Callithrix jacchus: one gene and its partners. The protein of the gene in region 3 binds, or shares a complex with, the protein of the main gene of each other region. Links are inferred from orthologs where the notes say so. Each region holds a gene or a part of one and is shown on either strand. Other genes may lie near its edges.

The links.
Region 1: the proteins of UBE2E1 (region 3) and TRIM21 are in contact, whole or in part, in a crystal structure (PDB 6FGA), measured with the Homo sapiens proteins. The link is inferred for Callithrix jacchus from reciprocal best matches to the Homo sapiens genes UBE2E1 and TRIM21. Residues at the interface, in NP_003332.1 of Homo sapiens: Lys43, Lys50, Arg51, Lys54, Pro107, Phe108, Asn138, Trp139, Ser140, Pro141, Ala142, Thr144; in NP_003132.2 of Homo sapiens: Pro17, Ile18, Cys19, Leu20, Asp21, Glu38, Cys39, Gln42, Val43, Pro52, Arg55.
Region 2: the proteins of UBE2E1 (region 3) and SETDB1 are in contact, whole or in part, in a crystal structure (PDB 8IYA), measured with the Homo sapiens proteins. The link is inferred for Callithrix jacchus from reciprocal best matches to the Homo sapiens genes UBE2E1 and SETDB1. Residues at the interface, in NP_003332.1 of Homo sapiens: Asn125, Ser126, Gln127, Val129, Cys131, Leu132, Lys136, Asp163, Pro164, Leu165, Val166, Gly167, Ser168; in NP_001138887.1 of Homo sapiens: Glu868, Gly869, Tyr870, Glu871, Ser872.

What each region holds. Positions count from the first base shown.
Region 1 is NC_133511.1:69,714,925-69,722,431, reverse strand, and holds the start of TRIM21 (E3 ubiquitin-protein ligase TRIM21), read left to right. Parts: upstream 1-2,956; 5' UTR 2,957-3,026; intron 3,027-5,334; 5' UTR 5,335-5,411; intron 5,412-6,321; 5' UTR 6,322-6,371; coding exon 6,372-6,779; intron 6,780-7,057; coding exon 7,058-7,153; intron 7,154-7,507. UniProt on the Homo sapiens protein: E3 ubiquitin-protein ligase whose activity is dependent on E2 enzymes, UBE2D1, UBE2D2, UBE2E1 and UBE2E2.
Region 2 is NC_133519.1:10,821,074-10,828,675, reverse strand, and holds the start of SETDB1 (histone-lysine N-methyltransferase SETDB1), read right to left. Parts: upstream 4,794-7,602; 5' UTR 4,566-4,793; coding exon 4,535-4,565; intron 3,412-4,534; coding exon 3,141-3,411; intron 1,080-3,140; coding exon 928-1,079; intron 1-927. UniProt on the Homo sapiens protein: Histone methyltransferase that specifically trimethylates 'Lys-9' of histone H3. H3 'Lys-9' trimethylation represents a specific tag for epigenetic transcriptional repression by recruiting HP1 (CBX1, CBX3 and/or CBX5) proteins to methylated histones.
Region 3 is NC_133518.1:62,150,779-62,158,659, reverse strand, and holds the start of UBE2E1 (ubiquitin-conjugating enzyme E2 E1), read right to left. Parts: upstream 4,655-7,881; 5' UTR 4,548-4,654; intron 3,390-4,547; 5' UTR 3,357-3,389; coding exon 3,205-3,356; intron 1-3,204. UniProt on the Homo sapiens protein: Accepts ubiquitin from the E1 complex and catalyzes its covalent attachment to other proteins. Catalyzes the covalent attachment of ISG15 to other proteins. Mediates the selective degradation of short-lived and abnormal proteins.

The DNA of each region.
Region 1 (7,507 bases), on a different chromosome or scaffold from region 3:
TCAATGCAATCCCTATCAAAATATCAATGACCTTCCTTACAGAAATAGAAAAGAAAATTCCAAAATTTATATGGAATCACAAAAGATCCAGAATAACCAAAGCTATCCTGAGCAAAAAGAACAAAATTGGAGAATCACATTATCTGACTTCAAATTATACTATAGAGCTATAGTAACCAAAACATCATGGTGATGCCATAAAAACAGACCTTTAGACTAATGGAAAAGAATAGAGAATCCAGAAACAAATCCATGTATCTACAGTGAACTCACTTGCAACAAAGGTGCCAAGAACACACAATGAGAAAAGGACAGTCTCTTCAATAAATACTGCTGAGAAAACTGGATATCCACATGCAGAAAAATAAAACTACACCCCCATCTCTACAAAAATCAAAATGGATTAAAGACAAATCTAAGACCTCAAACGATGAAATGACTACAAGAAAGTATTAGGGAAACTTTCCAGGACATTGGACTGGGCAAAGATTTCTTTCAAATACCCCCCAAGCACAGGCAACCAAAGCAAAACTGCACAAATGTGATCACATCAAGTTAAAAAACTTCTGCACCACAAAGGAAACAATGAAATGGAGACACAACCCACAGAATTGGAGTAAATATTTGTAAACTATCCATCTGACAAGGGATTAATAACCAGAATATATAAGGAGCTCAAACAACTCTATAGGAAAATAATAATTCAAATCAAAAATGGACAAAAGATTGGAATAGACATTTCTTAGAAGACGACATACAAGTGGCAAATGGATATATGAAAATGGGCTCAATACCACTGATCATCAGAGAAATGCAAATCGAAACTACAATGAGATATTAGCTAACCTCAGTTAAAATGTCTTTTATCCAAAAGAAAGGCAATAACATGCTGGCAAGGATATGTAGAAAAGGGAACCCTCATACACTGTGGTTGGGAATGGAAATTAGTACAATCACATTGGAGAACAGTTTGAAGGTTCCTCAAAAACTAAAAATAGAGCTACCATATTAACTAGCAATCCTACTGGATACTTCTAGGTATATACCCAGAAAAAATACTATTAAGTATGTACCCAAGAGAAAGGAAATCAGTATGTCAAAGAGATATCTGCACTCTCATGTGTATTGCAACACTATTCACAATAGCCAAGATTTGGAAGCAATCTAAGCATCCATCAATAGACAAATGGGTTGACCCAGCAATCCCATTACTGGGTATATATCCAAAAGACTATAAATCGTTCTACTATAAGGACACATGTACACGAATGTTCATTGCAGCACTGTTTACAATAGCAAAGACCTGGAACCAACCCAAATGCCCATTGATAATAGACTGGATTGGAAAAATGTGGCACATATACACCATGGAATATTATGCAGCAATCAGAAATGATGAGTTTGTGTCATTTGTAGGGACATGGATGAATCTGGAAAACATCATCCTCAGCAAACTGACACAAGAACAGAAAATGAAACACCGCATATTCTCACTCATAGGTGGGTGATGAAAAATGAGAACACATGGACACAGAAAGGGGAGTACTAAACACTGGGGTCTATTGGGGGGGAAAGGGGAGGGTCAGTGGGAGGGGGAGGTGGGGAGGGATAGCCTGGGGAGAAATGCCAAATGTGGGTGAAGGGGAGAAGGAAAGCAAAGCACACTGCCATGTGTGTACCTACGCAACTGTCTTGCATGCTCTGCTCATGTACCCCAAAACCTATAATCCAATAAAAAATTAAAAAAAAAATAGACAAATGGGTAAGGAAAGTGTGGTACACATACACAATGGAGTACTGATTAGCCATAAAAAGGAGAACCTTTCATTTGCTACAACATGGATGAAAAATAGGGGTCATTATGTTAAATAAAATAAACCAAACACAGGCAAACAACCAATTGTACATTCTCACTAATAAGTGGAGCTAAAAATTAGAACAATTGAACTCATGAAGATAGCAGAATGATGGTTACCAAAAGCTGGGAAGGGTAGCCAGGAGTGTGTAGGGGGGTGATTAATGGGTTCAAAATACATGAGATAGAATGAATAAGATCTAGTATTTTATAGCATAACAGGGTGACTACAGACAATTTATCATACATTTTAAAATAATTAAAAAACATATAATTGGATTGTTTGTAACACAAAGAAGTGATAAATTCTTGAGGTGATGGATACCCCCACTTACCCTGATGTGATTATTACAGACCGTATGCTATACCTGTGCATCAAAATATCTCATGTAGCCCATAAATACATACATCTACCACAGACACAGAAAATTTAAAATTTAAAACAAAATTACTTGGGTAAATTTTATATTCTGTGTATTTAACGATTAAAAATTAATATAACCTGAGAATGTCCCTAGCTCGGTGATAAGAACATAGTTGGTTATCAGATGTCAATTCCCTTCTCACCACTCACTGGTGGGATACTTACCTCGGGGTCATGCGAAATAAATCACTCACCTGCAGATGTTAAAAAAATAATAGTCACATCAGTCACATGAAAAGAATTAGCTTCTGGAAGTAAGAAACAGATGACGGCACGTGAGGGAGAGCACCAGCCACTATTCTCTGCATCCAACCCTCCTTAAAAGCAGCTTCCAGACATGGGCAAAGCATCTAGGTGTGGGGTGATAACCAGTGTCAAAGAAAGCAGCCCGGACTCCCCCATCTTGCAGATATTTTACTAAATCAGATAATGAAGACATGGGAGGGGGTGCGCACCCAGGACCACAGGCTACTGGGCTTCCATTACTTCCCAGTCTCATAGAAGCCCCCTGGCTGTCCAGAGCCTCTGAAGCCCCCCGCCAGCCCAACTCTGACTTCTCTCCTCCCACCTCTCTTCCTTCTCAGCGGCATTTCTCCACACACCCTTTCAAGGCTCCGCTCCTCCCACGGCTCCTCCCTCTCTCCTCTCACGGCTCCTCCTCCCTCCCCTTTCCCGTCAGACTTGCCTCTGAGCGGAAACTGAAAGTGAAATAGGGAGCTGGCTACCCGCGTTGAGTCCCCTGTAAAGGTGAGTGAACCTCACTAAATCAAGGAACCCCTGCCCTCCTAGTGGACCTCTCCCCTGCCCCAGGGCTGCAGAGCCCCTTCCAACCAGTCTCCATCCTTGAGCCGGTCCCATTTGCCCCTTCTCCCACCGGGGATCCCTCAATCCAAGCCCCTCTGTGCTTCCGAGGCTGGTCTCCTAACCTGGAAGGAGGCTGGGGTATGGACATGACTGCTGCGGAGTTACCCAGAAGGGGTAGGGTTCCGGGCACTTGGGAGGAGACTGGGGTGTGGGACGTGACTGCGGAGTTACCCAGAAGGGGAAGGGTTCCGGCTGCCCCCTACTTGGGAGGAGGCTGGGGTGTGGACGTGACTATGGAGTTACCCAGAAAGAGAAGGGGCCTGGCTGCCCCATTGCTGGCACCTGAGCTGGGATGAGAGCTGGGTGCAGCTGAGAGAGCCAGCACTACTGCCTAGCCAGGAGCGTGGGGGAGATCTGCAATCCTGGAGACTCCCAGGTCCAAAAGTCCTCCAGAGGTGAGGGGCAGGCTGCTTAGGATGTTCAACCAGAAATGTATAGGCCTTCAAAATTACTCTTTGTCATAGAAGAAGTGATGTCAGGAACTAAACTAAGTTTGGAGCAGCTGAAAGAAGAGCCCAGGGAGTGCTGGCCACAGTTCCTGTTGCTCTGTGTGAATACATTCACATATACATGCTCATGTACATACATATACACCTGACTTTTGCCAATATTGGAATGATTAATGAAGATGTATTCAAAGCATGTGTAGTATCTCTGGCACATGGAAGGTACATGGTTAAAAGTAGCTATTTTATGACTAGTTTCTCAGCAACATGGAGGCCTGCTGGTACCAGAAAGAAGATGAATGGGCACTGAGGGTTTAAGCAGGAATGGACATGAGAGAACTGTCAGCTTTATGAGGTTCTTGCCAATTTTCACTCCCTCCTTTAGGGACTCAGTTTCTCCTTCTGTCCCAGTGGATCAATGGGCCAAACAGTGGAGGAGTTCTTGTTATTCAGAAGAATAAACTTATTAAACAAACTATTTGGTCCATGCAAAAGTAATACTGTTTTTGCCATTAATTATTTTTCCATTAATATTATGCCCTTTTTTTTTTTTTTTTGGAGATGGAGTCTCCCTCTGTTGCCTGTGCTGGAGTGCAGTGGCACCAACTCAGCTCACTGCAACCTCCACCTCCCAGGTTCAAGCAATTCTCCTGCCTCAGCCTCCTGAGTAGCTGGGATTACAGGCACCCACTACCACTCCCAACTATTTTTTGTATTTTTAGTAGAGACAGAGTTTCACCATGTTGGTCAGGCTGGTCTCAAACTCCTGACCTCAGGTGATCCACCCACCTCGACCTCCCAGAGTGCTGGGATTACAGGCGTGAGCCACCATTTTTATTTTTTTATTTTCCGTTTCATCATTTTGTTTTTCTTTTTTTAGTTTTAATTTTTCTGGGCATGTAGTAGGTATATTTATGGGCTACATGGAACATTTTGATACAGGTATACAGAGCCACCATTTTTATTTTTTTATTTTCCTTTGCATCATTTTGTTTTTCTTTCTCTAGTTTTAATTTTTCTGGGCACATAGTAGGTATATTTATAGGCTACATGGAATATTTTGATATAAGTATACAATGTGTAATAACCACATCAGGATAAATGGGGCATCTAGCACCTTAAGCATTGATCATCTGTGATAAACTATGCAATTATACTCTTTCAAATGTACAATTAAATTATTGACTATCGCCACCTGTTATGCTATCAAATACTAGATCTAATTCACTCCATTTTTGTACCCATTAACCATCCTACTTTTCCCCCAACACATCCTCCCTACTATTCTTCCCAGCCTCTGGTAACCATCTTTCTATTATCTAACTCCATGAGTTCAATTGTTTTGATTTTTAGCGCCTACAAATGAGAACATACAATGTTTGTCTTTCTGTGCCTGGCTTATTCCACTTAATGTAGTGACCTCCAGTTCCATTCATGTTGTTGTAAATGACAGGATCTCATATTTTATGGCTGAATAGTACTCCATTTTGTATATGTACCACATTTTATTTATCTATGTATCTGTTGATGGACACTTAGGTTGCCACCAAATCTTGGCTATTGTGAAACATACTGCAATAAACATGAGTGTGCAGATATCACTTTGATACAGTGATTTCCTTTCTTAGGGGTATATACCTAGCAGTGGGATTGCTGGATCATATGGTAACTCTATTTTCAGTTTTTTGAAGAACCTCCAAACTGTTCTCTGTAGTGATCGTACTAATTTACATTTCCACCAACAGCTTATGAGGGTTCCCTTTTCTCCACACCCTCACCAGCATTTGTTATAGCCTGTTGGATAAAAGACATTTTAACTGAGGTGAGATATCTCATTGTAGTTTTGATTTGCATTTTACTGATAATCAGTGATGTTGAGCAACTGTTCATATGCCTGTTTGTCATTTGTATGTCTTTTGAGAAATGTCTATTCAGATCTTTTGTCCATTTTTGAACCAGATTATTACATTTTTTTCCTATAGAGTTGTTTGAGCTCCTTACATATTCTGATTATTAATCCCTTGTCAAATGGATAGTTTGCAAATATTTACTCCCATTCTGTGGGTTGTCTCTTCACTTTGTGGATTATTTTCTTTGCTGTGCAGCAGGTTTTCAATTTGATGTGATCCTATTTGTCCAATTTTGCTTCGGTTGCCTATGCTTGTGGGACATTTAAATGAAATCTTTGCCCAGTCCAATGTCCTGGAGTGTTTCTCCAATGTTTTCTTGTAGTCCTTTCATAATTTGAGGTCTTAGATTTAAGTCTTTAATCCATTTTGATTTTATTTTTGTATATGGTGAGATAGGGGTATAGTTTCATTCTTCTGCATGTGGATATCCAGTTTTCCCAGCAGCATTTATTGAAGAGACTGTCCTATCCTGTCTGTTCTTGGCACCTTTGTTGAAAGTGAGCTCACTGTGGATGTCTGGATTTGTTTCTGGGTTTTTTACTCTGTTTTATTGGTCTATGTGTCTGTTTTTATGCCAGTACCATGCTGTTTGGGTTACTTTGGCTCTATAGTATAATTTGAAGTCAGGTAATGTGATTCCTCCAGTTTTGTTCTGTCTGCTCAGGATAGCTTTGACTATTCTGGGTCTTTTGTGTAAATTTTAGGATTTTTTTTCCTATTTTTGTGAAGAATGCCATTGGTATTTTGATAGGAATTATGTTGACTTTTTGTTTTTCTTACACAGACTTTCTCATGTTCTCTATTCCCTTTCTTCTCTCCCAGGCAGCCCCACAAAGGTCTCCACACTACTGCTTAACAGGAAGGGCACAGCTATGGCTTCAGCAGCACGCTTGACAATGATGTGGGAGGAGGTCACGTGCCCTATCTGCCTGGACCCCTTCGTGGAACCTGTGAGCATCGAATGTGGCCACAGCTTCTGTCAGGAATGCATCTCTGAGGTTGGGAGAAATGGGGGTGGTGTCTGTCCTGTGTGCCGGCAGCGCTTTCTGCTCAAGAATCTCCGCCCCAACCGACAGCTAGCCAACATGGTGGACAACCTTAGAGAAATCAGCCAGGATACCAAAGAGGGCACACAGGGGGAACGGTGTGCAGTGCATGGAGAGAGACTTCACCTGTTCTGTGAGAAAGATGGGAAGGCCCTTTGCTGGGTGTGTGCCCAATCACGGAAACACCGTGACCACCCCATGGTCCCTCTTGAGGAGGCTGCACAGGAGTACCAGGTGAGGCCTTAGTGACACAAACAGGAGGAAAGAAGATGGGCCCTGATGAGTGCTTTGTTTTCAGAGTGGGTAATGGGAAGGGAACACCTCTGTATCAGAGGAGTTAGAGAAAGGAAGAATTTACCTCTCTCCATGTCTAATGTAGGAGGAGAATTATAAGCTAAACCCAACCTTCTCATTCCCCAGGAGTGAGAGATATGCATGAGAAAATGCTCAAAGATTACCCACACCCTATTACTTGGTCTGTCTAGAGACTAATATGCTGTCTTTCTCTGCAGGAGAAGCTCCAGGTGGCATTAGGAGAATTGAGAAGAAAGCAGGAGTTGGCCGAGAAGTTAGAAGTGAACATTGCAATGAGGAGAGCGGACTGGAAGGCAAGAATGACAGACTTATGGGGATCTTAGGCTAGAAGGCTGGGCAGGGTCCAGGGTCCTTGACTCACAGGCTTAACTGTAGCTGTGCCTGTCTAAGGAGTGAGAGAGTTGGTCCGTTTCACTCTCCAGCAACCATCTGCCCTCTAGGTTTCCAGATAGAGGGGAATAAAAATGATGCAGGTTCAAAAGAGAGCTCCCCATTAGGCCTGAGGATCAAGAATCCCGGAAGACGGTGCTGAGAGGATCTAGCTATACCCTAAAGTTTCGAGCTCCTCTGCGTCCAGTCGCAGAGGGGTGATGGCATCAGCACCTGGGTGTCTGAGACAAATATCCTAAGAGAGAAACCCAACTGCT
Region 2 (7,602 bases), on a different chromosome or scaffold from region 3:
TGGTAAAAACCTATCTGTACTAAATATACAAAAATTAGTTGGGTATGGTGGCTTGAGCCTGTAGTCTCAGCTACTTGGGAGGCTGAGGCAGGAGAATTGCTTGAACCTAGGAAGCAGAGGTTGCAGTGAGTGAGATAATGCCACCGCACTCCAGCCTGGTGTTGGAGCAAGATTCTGTCTCAAAAAAAAAAAAGAGAGATCCTTCCACCTCAGCCTCCCAAGCAGCTGGGGTTACTGGAGTGTACTACCATGCCTGGCTAATTTTTTTATTTTTATTAGAGATGAAGTCTTGCTATGTTGGCCAGGCTGGTCTCAAATTTCTGGGCTCAGGGGCTCCTCTCTCTTCAACCTCCAAAAGTGCTAGGATTACACGTATGAACCACTGTGCCTGGCCTGCTCTTATAACTCTTATTCAACATTATACTGAAGGTTTTAGTGAGTACAGTAAGAAAAGAAAAATAAAAGATATCCAGAGTAGAGAGGAAGAAGTAAAATAGACTTTATTTGCATGAATTAGTTTCAGAAAATCCTAAGGAATCGGCCAGGTGCAGTGCGGCTCACGCAATCGACACAAAGCTTCTAGAGCTATGTGAGTTTAATGAGGTTGCAGGCTGCAAGATCAACACACAAAAACCAACTGTGTTTTTTTATATCCTAGCAATAAAACATACACTTACCTGGCAATTCCGCTCTTTGATGGAATACTCCAGGGGTTACACAGAATGAGGAAAGCAAAGTAATGCAATCAGGGTGTAGCACATAGGGAACATCTATGATACTAACAATGTTGCATTTTTTTCCTCTAATAGCCAACTTGGGCAATTTGAAATATGAGGTTTCTCCTCTCTTCTACTATCTTCTATTTGCTCATATTCCAGTGTTTTAACTTCAATTCTGAGACTTTCCTATCAAAAGTTCATCCCTTACCTGAATCAATACTGAGGACATCATCGTCTTCATCAGGAATCTCAATTATTTCTGTAGGCCGGGAAGATTCATCCTCAGAGCTACTGTCCCGGTATTGTAGTCCCAGCTTGGAGTAGAAGTCCTTCACCAAAGACTCACAATTAGTCACTGCCCTAATATTGGAACACATGTAGAAAAGGTCAAAGCCAGTAGAGGGAGTACAGGTATAGAATCCACCATAATTCAAATATCTTTAAGTACAGACTGTCCTCAATTTAAATGGCCACATTCCAAAGTGTCTCTGTTTAGAATTTAGAATGCTTTTCCTATAGAAAAATGTTTTCTTTTTTGAGATGGAGTTTCACTCTTATCGCTCAGACTGGAGTGCAATGGTGAGATCCTGGCTCACGGCAACCTGCACCTCTTGTGTTCAAGTGATTCTCCTGCCTCAGCCTCGTGAGTAGCTGGGATTACAGGTGCCTGCCACCACACCCAGCTGATTTTCATATTTTTAGTAGAGGCAGGTTTCACCATGTTGGCCAGGCTGGTCTCAAACTCCTGACCTCAGGTGAGCCACTCACCTCGGCCTCCCAAAGTGCTGGAATTACAGGTATAAGTCACCGCACCTGGCTGAAAAATGTTTTAAATAGTGGTTTCGTTTCCAGACTAGTTCCTCAAAAACCCAAAATAAGCTCAAAGTACAGTACTTTCCACCTTACCTCATTATTTATCTTGTTACCTGAAAATGTATCCTGGCTGGGAGTGGTGGCTCACACCTGTAATCCCAGCAATTTGGGAGGCAGAGGCAGGTCAATCACTTGATGTCAGGAATTTGAGACTAGCCTGGCCAACATGGTGAAATCCCATCTCTACTAAAAATACAAAAATAAGATGGATGTGCTTGCTTGAACCCAGGTGGCGGAGATTCCAGTGAGCCAAGATGGCACTACTGCACTCCAGCCTGGGCAACAGAGCAAGACTCTGTCTTTAAAAAAAAAAAAAAGAAAAGAAAAAAGAAAATGGGGCAGGTGCAGTGGCTCATGCCTGTAATCCCAGTACTTTGGGAGGCTGAGGGGGGCGGATCATGAGGTCAGGAGATTGAGACCATCCTGGCCAACTCAGTGAAACAGTGTCTACTAAAATACAAAAAAAAAAAAATTAGCCAGGTGGTGTATACCTGCAGTCCCAGCTCTTTGGGAGGCTGAGGCAGGGGAATCGCTTGAACCTGGAAGGCAGAGGAGACTGCACCACCACACTCCAGCCTGGTGACAGAGTGAGACTCCAACTCAAAAAAACAAATAAAATAAAAAATATAGGTCAAGTGCAGTGGCTCGAGCCTGTAAGCCCAGGACTTTGGGAGGCCGAGGTGGGCGGATCACCTGAGGTCAGGAGTTCAAGACCAGTCTGGCCAACATGGTGAAACCCTATCTCTACAAAAAATACAAAAATTAGCTGGGTGTGGTGGGACACACGTGTAGTCCCAGCTACTCAGTAGGCTGAGACAGGAGAACTGCTTGAAACTGGGAGGCAGAGGCTGCAGTGAGCCAAGAACATGCCACTGCACTCCAGCCTGGGCGAGACAGAGCGAGATTCCGTCTCAAAAACAAAAAAGGTATTCTAAATGACAACTAGATCACCAAAAATAACTTTTAGGAGTATAGGAACTTAATAATGCTTCAAAGTTACATAAGACAGAAATTCTTTATAAACCTCACTCCCTGAACAAGCAATTGTTTCTAAGATAGAACACAGGAGGAAGAAGGGGAAGGGACTTAAGACTTGGACTCCCTTACTGCTGATCATGTATCAGCTGCTGACAGATAAAAGTTCTATAAATGGCTGATTGTGAGGTCAGATTTTTGACCATAAACTTTGAGGAAGAGTAAAGTTCTAAACATCTGTACTTCATAAAGTATAAAATTCTTGGTACACAGCCTGGTCAACATGGTAAAATCCTGTCTTTACTAAAAATACAAAAAATTAGCCAGGCATTGTGGTAGGTGCCTGGAGGCTGAGGCAGGAGAATCATTTGAACCTGAAAGATGGAGGTTGCAGTGAGCTGGGATCACTCCACTGCACTCTAGCCTGGGTGACAGAGTGAGACTCTGTCTCAAAAAAAAAAAAAATTAAATTAAAAAATTAAAATAAATGCTTAGTATAATGTCATGAACAATTATGCCCTAAAGATATCTCCCAATGGAGAGATTTCCCTCTGTTGTCTATGTAGTTCTCACCTAGATGCATCATCAAAGAGCTGGTCAACATGAGCCACCTCAGATTCTTTCTGTATCACCCATGTCTCTAACTCTGCTAGCTGTTTCTTGCGCTGCTGTACACAATCCATCTTCTCCAGTTCCTCATCGATGAAATGCCGAAGTTCTTCCATAGAGATACCCAGTTCCTCAACCACTGCCTGTTGCAGCTCTTTGATCTCTTCAGACTCCACTGTAGCTGTTGCTGCATCCAAACCAATGCGCCCAGGAAGGGAAGACATGCTTTTGTCCTCTGCATGGAACAGAAAACAAATTAAACTGGAGTCCTTATAACCACAATCAATAGAGAACTGATTCCCTAATAAAGCATTTCTACCCTGCTGCCTGTTATTTATTCAAATGGTCCATGTTCTCCCTCTTCATTCCCCAGAATCTGATGCTGAGATTTCTTCTGCTATACAGTAGCAGGCCTGAATAACATTTAAAGTTTGAGAGGGCATGGAAAACATTCATTATGCAGTAGGGAGCTACTGAAAATAATGTTTTGGGCCAGCACAGTGACTTGTGCCTGTAATCTCAGCAGAGGGTCACCTGAGGGCAGGAATTCAAGACCTGCCTGGGCAACATGGCGAGACCCATCTTTACAAAAAAAATACAAAAATTAGCCAGGTGTGGTGGCATATGCCATTAGGCCCAGCTACTGAGGTGGGAGGACCACGTGAGCCCAGGAGAGGCTGCTATAGTGAGCTGTTTGTGCCATGCATTCCAGCCTGGGTGACCCTGTCTCAAAACAAAACTTCAAAAATAATTTTTTAGAAAACTGAAGAGAACCAATATAGAAGGTGGTATTTTTGTGGTCTATATGTGTTCCTTAACTAATGTGATAAATCTTTGCCATGTTATGCCTAATTTGAACAAAACCCCCCATCTGGGGACGGAGTTGATCTGTAACTCACTAATTCAATATTTTCTTTTTTTGAGACGGAGTTTTGCTCTTGTTACCCAGGCTGGAGTGCGATGGGGCAATGTTGGCTCATCGCAACCTCCACTTCCCGAATTCAAGCTATTCTCCTGCCTCTGCCTCCCGAGTAGCTGGAATTACAGGCATGTGCCACTACGCCCAGCTAATTTTTTGTATTTTTAGTAGAGACGGGGTTTCTCCAATTTGGTCAGGCTGGTCTCGAACTCCCAATCTAGGTCATCCGCCCACTTTGGCCTCCCAAAGTGCTGGAATTACGGGCGTGAGCCACCACGCCTGGCCTATTTTCTCTTTCATTAGTTGTTCCCCTTACATTACTTTGCTTTCATGTGGAAATTAACTTTTTAAAAAGTCTATGGTATTCAAGCACACAAAAGCTTGCAGCAAAAAGGTTTCTCCAGAGAAGTAAAGCAACCTGGGAATAAAATGTGGCTACCTAATATCCACAATCCAAATGCTTCACACATTTGTGTGAAATGCTTGTTTAATCAAACTGTTAAGGCAAATCTGATTTTCAGCGCCTCCATTTTCCTTTGCCCACACACCGGCCCACCCCAGTGCTACCCCTAGAATGCTAGGGGTGCGCCTCATCCATCCGCAAACCCAGTTCAGCCCCGCCCCCGCTCGCCTCAAGAGACGACTTCCTTCCCACCCTCGCCCGACCTCCTCCCACAGACAAAACATCCCAGATAAGCCTTTGGTCACCAAATAAATCAATTAACAGTATTCCCCACACCTCCCTGCTTCCAGTTGTAAGGGCTCTTTTTCACCAACCAGACCCCAGACTCACGACTCGGGGGTCTGCCTCGACGGAAAAGAGCGAAAGCGAAGGGATACGAGAGGAGGGGGAGGGGAGAAAGCGTGATGGAGGGAAGGGGAAGCAAAAGAGACGCCCGGAAGCAAACCTCTAATGCCGTTCCGGTCACCGCGACGGTAGCCTGACGGGGCCAAACCCAAAACCGCGGGGCGCCCCTCTGAGGCAATGCACACTAAGGTAACTACGCATGCGTTAAACACACGTGAGAAGCTACTGGCAGAGCAAAGTGGGCGTGGCCAAAAGTATGTTGCCGAGGCTCCGCCTCTCCTACCACCCTTGACTGGTGGCCACATTACTGCGTTCATTGCGTAAAGACTTGGGGTAACACTCATTGGTTTAGAGCTTTTTTCTCTCAGTTTTCCTTGAGTTTATTTTGTTATGTAAGTGATACAAATTGTAAAAGCTATCAAGATGTAGTAAGAAAAACGTGATAATGTTCTCTCTGGCCCCATCACTTACCACTCCACTCCTTTCAGGTAACACAGCTTAATTTTCTAGTTTCTGTGTGTAGATTTTTTTGTTTGTTTGTCTTCGTTTAGTATGTAGACATTACCTGACGCCAATAAAAAAGGTAAAACTTGTACTTTTAACATTTCAATAGTATGGTTAACCATATTCGTTTAGATTGTTTTCCGTTCTCAGCCCCTACAAATAGCGCAACAATAAAAATAAAAATCCTTTTGAGGTAGGACTTTTATTTCTGGAGAAAAGATTCCCCAGGCCGGGCGCCGTGGCTTATGCCTGTAATCCCAGCACTTTGGGAGGCTGAGGCGGGAGGATCGCTTGAGCTCAGGAGTTCTAGACCAGGCTGGGCAACACGGTGAAACCCCATCTCCACTCAAAATACAAGGGAAAAAAACAGCCAGGTGTGGTAGTTCGCACCTGTCTTCCCAGCAATTCCAAAGCTGAGGTGGAAGGATCGCCTGAGCCTCGGGAGCAGAGGCTGCAGTAAGAGGAGAACCTGCCACTTCACTCCAGCCTGGGTGATCGAGCGAGACTCCGTCTCAAAAACAAAACAAAAAGGAAGGATTTTCCAAAATGGAATTTAAGTAAAATAGTATCACTTTTTTCTTTTCTTTTCTTTTTTTTTTTTTGAGATGGAGTTTCACTCTTGTCACCTAATCTGGAGTGCAATGGCACAAACTCAGCTCACTGCATCCTCCGCCTTCTGGGTTCAAGCAATTCTGCTTCAGCCTCCGCAGTAGCTGAGATTACAGGCGCCCGCCACCACGTCTGGCTAGTTTTTTGTATTTTTAGTAGGGACGGGGTTTACACCATGTTGGCCAGGTTGGTCTGGAACTCCAAGATCTGAAGTGACTCACTCCCTCTCCCCTTGGCCTCCCAAAGTACTGGGATTACAGGCGTGAACAACTGTACCTGGCCCTTCCCCACTACCAGCTTTTTTTTTTTGAGACGGAGTTTCACTCTTGTTGCCCAGGCTAGAGTGCAATGGTGAGAGCTGGGCTCACCACAACCTCCACCTCCCTGTTCAAGCGATTCTTCTGCCTCAGCCTCCCCGGTAGCCCCAGGGATTACAGGCATGCGCCACCACGCCTGGCTAATTTTGTATTTTTAATGGAGTAGGTTTTCTCCATGTTGGTCAGGCTGGTCTCAAACTCCCAAACTTAGGTGATCCCTGCCCCCCTTGGCCACCCAAAGTGCTAAGATTACTGATGTGAGCCACCATGCCTGGCCCCTTTCCATTTTAATAGACTCTGCTGTCAAATTATCTTTCCAAAAGGTTGTAAGAATCATTACTCCTACTAGCAAATCTAAAAGTGTTTCCCCACATCGCCATTAGTACTAAGTATTAATTACTTAATTTTTTTTTTTTTGAGACGGAGTTTCGCTCTTGTTACCCAGACTGGAGTGCAATGGCGCAATCTTGGCTCACCACAACCTCCGCCTCCTGGGTTTAGGAAATTCTCCTGCCTCAGCCTCCTGAGTAGCTGGGACTACAGGCGCGCACCACCATGCCCAGCTAATTTTTGTATTTTTAGTAGAGACGGGTTTCACCATGTTGACCAGGATGGTCTTGATCTCTTGACCTTGTGATTCACCCGCCTCGGCCTCCCAAAGTGCTGGGATTATAGGCGTGAGTCACCGAGCCTGGCGTAATTACTTAATTTTAAAGAACTTGATATGTGTTAAAATAGTATCGGTATAGGGATAGACTAGGTTATGTTGTGGAAACAACTCCAAAATCTGAGTAGCTTAAAACAAAACAAAAGGTGTATTTCTTGCTCACACTACATAATCATCTCTGGCAGGCATGGTGGGGCTCTGCTTATGAGAGCTACTGGGGAACCCACACTGATGAGTAGTCATGCCAGAGGGAAAGAATGCTAGAGGGACTCACACCAGCAAAAAGACCCAAGACACTGATGTTTACAACTCATTGGCCTGAATGAATCACAAAATCCTACACAACCACAAGGGGGCCAGGAAGAGCAGTTATCTTACCTCTGGAAGGAGGGAGAACCTGGTGTATCTGATGAACCACCATTTCTGATTACCATAGTGTCTTATCATTGCTTTAATTTATTCAGCTGTCTTTACATTAACTTTACTAGTTATTGAATCTATGTTTCCTTTATTTATTTATTTATTTATTTAGAGACGGAGTTTTGCTCTTGTTGCCCAGGCTGGAGTGTAATGGCACAATCTTGGCTCACCGCAACCTCCGC
Region 3 (7,881 bases):
ACAGGGTGCCCGCACGGGGGCTGCTCCGCGCCGCCCCAGCTCGCCACTCCCGGCGCCCAGAACTTCGGCCCAAAGCCACGCGCGAACGCGGAGCGCGAACGCCCCCGCCCGCCCCTCGGGCACTGCGGACCCCAGTGGCCGGCCGGCGACCGCACAGGTGCACCGGACCCTGCCTCCGCCTCGCACGCTCGCCGGGACTCTAGGCCCACCTCCCCGGACCTGCTTTTTCCAGGGCGACCTTTAACTTCCCAGGGTCTGCCCCTTCCTTCGTGGTCCGCTCTTCAGCACACACTGGGCACAGACCCGGGACCTGCAGTGTTCTCCCTCCGCACCAACCCTGGACTTCACAAAGGGCCCCATCCCCCACTCCTAGGCCGAAGCCACCAGGCAGTTCACACCAAGCCCTGGCCTTTGTCTTTCGCTCACCTAGGCACTTAGAGCATCAATTAATACGACAAAGTTTGGGGCCTCTAAGTTTCTTCCACCTTCTAAACGGTGCCTAATTTTATAACCTTTCCTCCTCCCATGATATAAAGCCCAATGGGGCTGTTACAACTTAAAAATCTCACCAAGGCAGCACCGTAGTTAAAAAATTTTAAACACACACACACAGCAATCTAATAAAGGATGCGTTTCCCTTTCCAAAGGTTTTCTGCGTAGGACAGGCTAACTATATGCGGTGAGGAATAGGTTTTCAGGGCGACGGCTGGGGGAGGTTCTACAAACCTTCCTACTGGAGGACATTTCCTGTCCCTACAAATCTGTCAACTTTAGAAAGGGGTTTGTTCACAGTCTCAATTGACACGTATTTATTTACTGCTACCAAAAATCGTTTCATTTCTGAGACATTCATACTCCTGCTGTTTGACTCATGACTACATTACACTAAAAGTTTGGAACATTGGTTTCCGGATTCTTTACCTGCGTCTTTTCGAATAACTATTTTAAGACCTACACACACAGGCAAAAACTTCCTCACCGGAGCACAATGCATATAAAAATACATACTGACTTCAGACCTCCTTGCCCACCCAACTCCCACTATAAAATATCCACTAAAGAGGCAGTTAATACCTAAGAAGTGTTCATACCAAAAAGCTTTATCAACTTCATCTTGACAGTCAGCATGTGCATTTCCAAAACCTGGCAAGAGATCTGCAGGAGGAACTCATACCTACATCCAGAGAGTCAGTCATTCTTGTTCAGGCCACTTTCAATGGGGGCTTTCCCCTACCCACGGTTTAGAAACCACTTTCCAGCATGCAGTTAGGCTGTGAGTCTGCCAATTCAGGCTTCTTTTTCACTCCTTCTCCTGGTAAATGTGCCCCTTCCAATTTTATGGGCAACACCTACCTTCCAAATCAATATATTTCACGGAACAGGTTCTATAGGATCCCACTAACATCAATTTTCCCCTTTCTCTTTCCTGGATACACTGTCCCTCTCAGGTTTTTTTTACCTTTTGCTATCAACCTTAGGTCTGCTTTAACACTGATGGCTACTACTCTTCAGCAAGGTATCAGGGAGCTAAATTCGCTGCAAAAACAAAACAAAACGAAAGCCTTGATGTTCATTTACATGTAAAATTACTATTTGTAGCCTCCCACCTTTCATTTTTTAAAATCTACCATCTCTTTCCCAGCACTTTCAAACAAATTTTTAACTTGTTTAAAATAAATGGACAAAGTATGTCTAGTGAAAAAAACAATTCACTCATAACAAAAGCAGAATATTTTCTATTTGATACCTGTGTCTTTACCCCCAAATATATATTCATGTACACCAGGGATATCTAGCAAAATATAAAGATGCAAATTGCCCAAAGCAAGTATCCTGGCGTGAGCACATGAGGCCAAAAGCTAAATGAGGATCAGGGAGCCTAGAGGCTTGAGGTGGAGGGCAGTGCTGCGAAAAGGCCCATCCCAAGTGGGCAGGGTGGATGCCAGGTTCCAGGAGAACCAAACAGGGCTAATCAGTGAGGGTCAGTTAGGCCTCCTGGGAAGATTTACGATCAAACCAAACCTATAAAAATGAGAACAATCTTGCAGAGGCACCTAAGACCTCCACACTATTTTTTAAAAGTCACTCCATCAGCCCATGGTTAGGTCACCAAAACACTGCCAAATTTTCAAATTACAAGTCAGGCAGAATGACAGAACAAACCCTCAAACCCTGACTTCCTGGCTCACTACTCAGTGGACAGATCTAAAGTCTCATGTTCCACTTTACATTAAAAATTTTTAAGGGTTTCTCTACCTAACCCACCATTCGGACTCCCTACTATGTTCCCGTTTTGCCACCTTTTTAACTGTCTAACTCTGAGAGCAGAAGGATTTCTAAAAAGGTGTCTCGGAGTTCCTAGGAATCTACTAAAGATTATTTTAAGTGTCATGGGGATCAGAGGATATTACTGAAGAATGGCAGGTGTAAAAAGTAGCTACCTCCAAGAGCTGTAAGAGGAAAAGAATAAAGAAAAAGAGACACAGCTTAAATTGGAAAAAAATAAGGCAAAGTAGCATTTTTACAGCATGAGGACAGCAAATAGCATGAAAAAAAAGTCTCCCTGAAATTTGGTAAACTGAAGTTCTCAAAGAGAATCACAAAAATAACCTACAATAACCATTTTACATCACTTACTGATTCATTCGTCTCAACTCTCAGAAAAATCTCTTTAAATTCCATCAGAGAATATCTGTCTTCACCTACGAAATTTTGTACCTGCTCATATGAGTTTCTTATTCCTTTTACAATTTGTGGAGAAAGCTCTATTCCAAAAAGATCATCCATGCAACAGGTGAAAAGAAGGTAAAATGGTCATAGAATCCATTTCGATGCAGTTGTCTGAGCAGGTTATTAGTAATTAAGAAACAGGATGATGGCCTTGGGGAAGGTCACAGATTAACCATTAAGTGGGACAAGGAATCTGAAATCAGATTTGGGGCTCGCTAATAAAAGTAGATGAGGATTGTTACAAACTTCGGCGAGAAAAGCGAGAGCCAAGCCGCAACAGCTGCATGTGGGCAATGATTTTAAAAAACAGAAGCAGCAATAGAGAAAATAATTAGGGTTTCCAAGGCCCTTCTTTCATTTTTAAGAACACACAAACCGTGAGGAGCGTTTAAGCTATCCTCGTTGGGAGGCAGACCAAATGCAGCAAGAGGCAGTTCGGAAAATAGGAAGCCTGTGGAAAAAAGAGTACGGTACCTCTTGGCGCTGGTGGAGAGGAGTTTGGAGTTTTTGCTCATGCTGACTTTACTCTCCTTCTTCTTGGGGGTGTTTGTTTCTTTCTCGGTTTGCTGGTTGGAAGATGAAGATGAGGAGGAGCTGGTGCTGGCCCTCGAATCGTCATCCGACATATCGAACCCCCCACCCCACCCCGCAAACAGCCCCTGCAGGGGGAGGGAAACAAAACAGAAACACACAAACCATGCAGCCAGTGTAAATAAGGAACTCGGGTGCTGTCAGGAGGGCATTGACCAGGGGCGCACGCGGCCGCCCACCGCCCTCCACTCGCTTTTCAAAGTCTGCAGGCCCATTAAGGCTTTTGCAAATCGGACGCGGCTTGTTTGTTTATTTTTGGCCCCAAGTAGGGAACGCGGTGGGAAAACGGTCTGGAGCTCGGAGAGCAGCCCCTCCCTCACCCCCCGGGGCTCTCCGCAGGGCAGGGAGGGAGTAACCAGGAGGCGAAGAAGGGCAGGGTGGGGGCGCGGGGCGCCGCAGCGGGGCAGGGAGGGAAGGTCCCGGCGGCCGGCCGGCCTCGGGGCTGTTTTTGTACGCTTTCCGGGGGTCGTGGGGGACCGGTGGCCCGGGTGAGACTGTGGGGCCACGAACGGAGTTTGGCGAGGTCGGGAAGAGAGGAGGGGCGGGAAGGAGTAAGAGAGGAAGCCGAAACAGGGGGACGGAGGCGGGGAACGGGTGCCCGGGTGGGGGAAGGGAGAGGCCGGCGGGGGGCAGGGGCGACGAGGCCCGAGCCCCCCCCCCCCCGCGCCGCGCCCCGACGCCCCTCCCGGGCGGCCTGCCTCTGGGCCGCCCGGCTCAGGGCTGCGCAGCCGGGCGGGGGTCCGGAGCACACGCCCGTTCGCCACTCGTGGAGGGGGATAGGGGCTGCGGCGTGGGGTGGGGGGGGCTCGGCCTCCGCAGCGAAGAAATAACAATGAGCCCTTCCGCCCCGGAGGGGTAAATCCCCAGGAGCCCGCGCCCCTGGGGAAAACAGGGCTCCCCCAACTCCCCCCCACCCCCGCTCCCGGCCCCCTCGGCGGCCAGTGGGGGGGCTCCTGGGGCAGCGCTGACAGTTCGAGCCACAATGACCCCCAGCCCCGACGCGGGCGGCCCCGCAACCCACGCGGCCCGGGGTCCCTGCCCATCCCCCGCGGGCGGGCCCGGGACCCCTGGGGCTCCCCAGCCCCTCTCCGCCACCACCCCTCCCCCGGCCCCGTGTCCGGCGCCCCGGCGGCCGGGGCGGTGCGGGTCGGGGACGGCGGCGAGGGGTGTCCCCGAGGCCGGCGGCGCGGCCGGGGGGCGGCGGGCCGCTGGGGGGATCCCCGTACCTCTCTTTGTGTCTGGCTCCTCCGTGCCGCCGCGGCGGCTGCTGCTGCGGCTGCGGCTGGGCCTGGCCACTCGTGTCTCTCTCTCGCTGGGAGAGAAGCGGAAGTGCAGCAACAGCAACTATTAAACAGGCAATGGCTTCCCCCAGCCACACACGCTCGCACACACACCACTCCTCCGCCGCCGCCGCCTCCTCCTCCTCCTCGCCCTCACCCCTCCCCCACCCGGCCCGGTCCCACCCACCCGCGCTCCTCTCCCCCTGCAACACCTCCTGAGGGTGCGCGAGAAAGACTCAGGAGACCCCAGAAAACCCTGCTCCCCCCGCACCCCCACCCCTGCGTCTCCTCCGGACGCCCGGGAAGGGGGCGAGGGGTGTGAATTTCCTCTTAAGTGGTTTGGGAACCTGGATTCTAGGCGGGAGAGGGGAAGCCGACGGAGGTGGGAGGCTCTGGGAGCGTTTGGAACTAGATGGAATAGGGGGGTCAAGAGAGAAAGTTCTTTCCAGTGAGGGCTTTTGGAAAGGAGAAGGGTAGGGAGGTGGCAAATTGGTGAAAAAGATGGTAATCTGGTGGCAAGCAAGGACTTTGGTCTAGAGAATGCAGCGGGAACTCCACCTAAAAAGCGATCAGTTTAAAGAGAAAAAAAAAAGCACACAACAGGGGTTTTCTTTGGGCTGACACTTGCTTCTTCTAGCAATTTACCTGCTAGGAGTAGAGGTCAGTTTAGGCACGCCTGTGAGAAAATCCCAAACCAGGAGTTTTCTGCTCAGGTCACGCGAGGCACGTGCAGTTTTACAATATTAAATTCTTCCAGTCACTTTTTATACAAAGTGATGTGGTTTTATAAGAGTAATACAAAGGTTTTGGTGACACATGAAACCAACGTGCAACGGGCTTGCAAATGTGAGAAATCACTGGGAATAAGCTATATACTACTGAATTAGACTGGATTTAGAATTTTGGGTGTCATTTTACATTATATATAAGGTTTGGTTTTTGGAAATTGGATGGAAAGTTCTGGGATCGCAGTGCTTTCTTTAGCTACATATAAATACTATTCAGATAATAGTTTTGAAATAATCAGCAATTCTTCTGAATTGTTCCTTATGTAGCATTTTTGTCCAATTAATTTTTTTTAATATTAGGCCATCAAATTACGATTTAGTTTCTCACCTATTTGTCATTTCAGTTGAAGGGAACTAAAGAGATATGTGCCATACAACAGTGCCACATATACAAGGTCTTGTACGTTAAGGACACAGCCTCAGATTTCCACAGGTCACTCTAAATTATCTCATTCAAACTGCCATCATTTTCCACCGCAACAGTGGCTTCAGTTACCACAGGACAACCCAAGATATAAAGCCCATGGCATATCCAGTAACCAGGAAAACAAGCATCCCACGACCCAGCCGAACTCCTAACCATCAACCTGAAACTCCAGCTTTATCAAGACTCATAATGTAATTGTGCATGCTTCTTGCTCAATCCCTACCAGGAAACCTGTCTCTACCAGGAGTTGTCATAGAAGTTCAAAAGTTGGAAGAAATCTTCTGGGTCATAATTTCAGCCTCCTGATTCCAGACAACTATTTCTCCACCATTGAAATGCATATAGATTTTGAAAAATTCTCCAGACATAACCTTTCTTAAGTGTTTGGTTTCAGGAGTCCCTGGTAGAGTATATAAAAATGATGACATTCTCTGACGTATATTTGAAAATTTTTTTTAAACTTCTGAAAACCAGGTTGTATTCTTTTTGTTCTGATGAAAAGATGTGAATTCAGGAGAAAACAATAAGCAGATGAAATAAAATCAGAATGAGGAAAATAGTCTAAAAATAGTTATTAAAATTGAAGTGTCCTCTTATGAAAATTATGGATTTCTGATACTTAAAAATATATGTCTACATTATAAATACAATCAGTAAAAAAAAAATCATGTGTATAAAGATGAGAACTAGCAGAGATCACAGGAAAATAAAAGGTTTGATTTGCTGGAGTGATCAGGACAGTAGACGAATTTTTTCTTTAATATTGGTTTGCATAAATTGAACACTAGCTATAATAATAATTCTTTTAAAATAGAACTTGATATTTTGTGTTGTGTTACTGACGAAAGAAATCATGAAATCTAACAGGTCCTGCTATAAGGAAAAGTAATTTCCCAACCACCTGTCTAGAAGGCTTCTTGCCCTCTTTTGTGTACCTTTCCCTCTAATCTCTAATATCCACTAGCTTGGGGTAATGTGTTATGGTTTTGGCATGACCTAATTAGAGGGAATAAAAACTTCAAAATGTTTAGAAAAGAATCCAGTACTCTCAAGACTAATCTTTATGCCAAATTATTTTTAAAGCCTGTATATAGCATCTTAGGAAAAAGAATTCATATACAACTTTCTAGCTCTCCTTTTTATTAACTATAAGGCCTAAAGAGCTAAATTAACCTCCCCGAGCGTCAGTTTCCTCATCTATAAAGAGCAGGAATACCTGTGCTCTACTGACTGGCGAGGTCAAATGAGTATATGTAATTAAGGTGATTTATCAACTGTTACGCAAAGTAAGTTATTAATAATTCCACTCTGGTCTTATTTCTTAGGAATTTTCTTAGGACATGCATGGGTTTGGGGACTTTTTGATGCTTTTACTTTTTGTTTTTTTGTCACCAGGGCAGAAAAGAGGATATGGGGTTTTTATGATTTAGAATTGATGAAAATATAAGAAACCTTCCAAGAGAAACATACAGTCAAGGAATCATAGGATTTTATGCCTAGAAGGAGCTTAAGATATCTTTTAGTTCACACTTTTCATGTTGCAGATAAAGAAATGAAGGCAATTGAAAGCCGGTAAGTCGGTTGGGCTCAGTGCCTCTTGCCTGTAATCCCAGCACTTTGGGAGGCTGAAGTGGGCAGATCACAATGTCAGGAGATCAACAGCACCCTGGTTAACATGGTGAAACCCTGTCTCTACTAAAAATACAAAAATTAGCTGAGCATGGTGGCACATGGCTGTAATCCCAGCTACATGGGAGGATGAGGCAGAAGAAGCATTTGAACCAGGGAGTCAGAGGTTGCAGTGAGCCTAGAGCACGCCACTGCACTCCAGCCTGGAGACAGAGCGAGACTGTCTCAAAAAAAAAAAGAAAAAAGAAAAAAAGAAAGCCAGCCAATATGTCTTAACCAAGGTCATGCAGTAAATTGGTGGCAAAATTGTGTTGTTATGACCCATGCTGTCCACAGATGATCTTGTCAGTTCTGGCAATATTGGAGTGGGAGAAGAGCCTCAATTACATTGCAGAAAAATATATTAAATATAAAAGGGTGGGGTGCAGTGACTCAC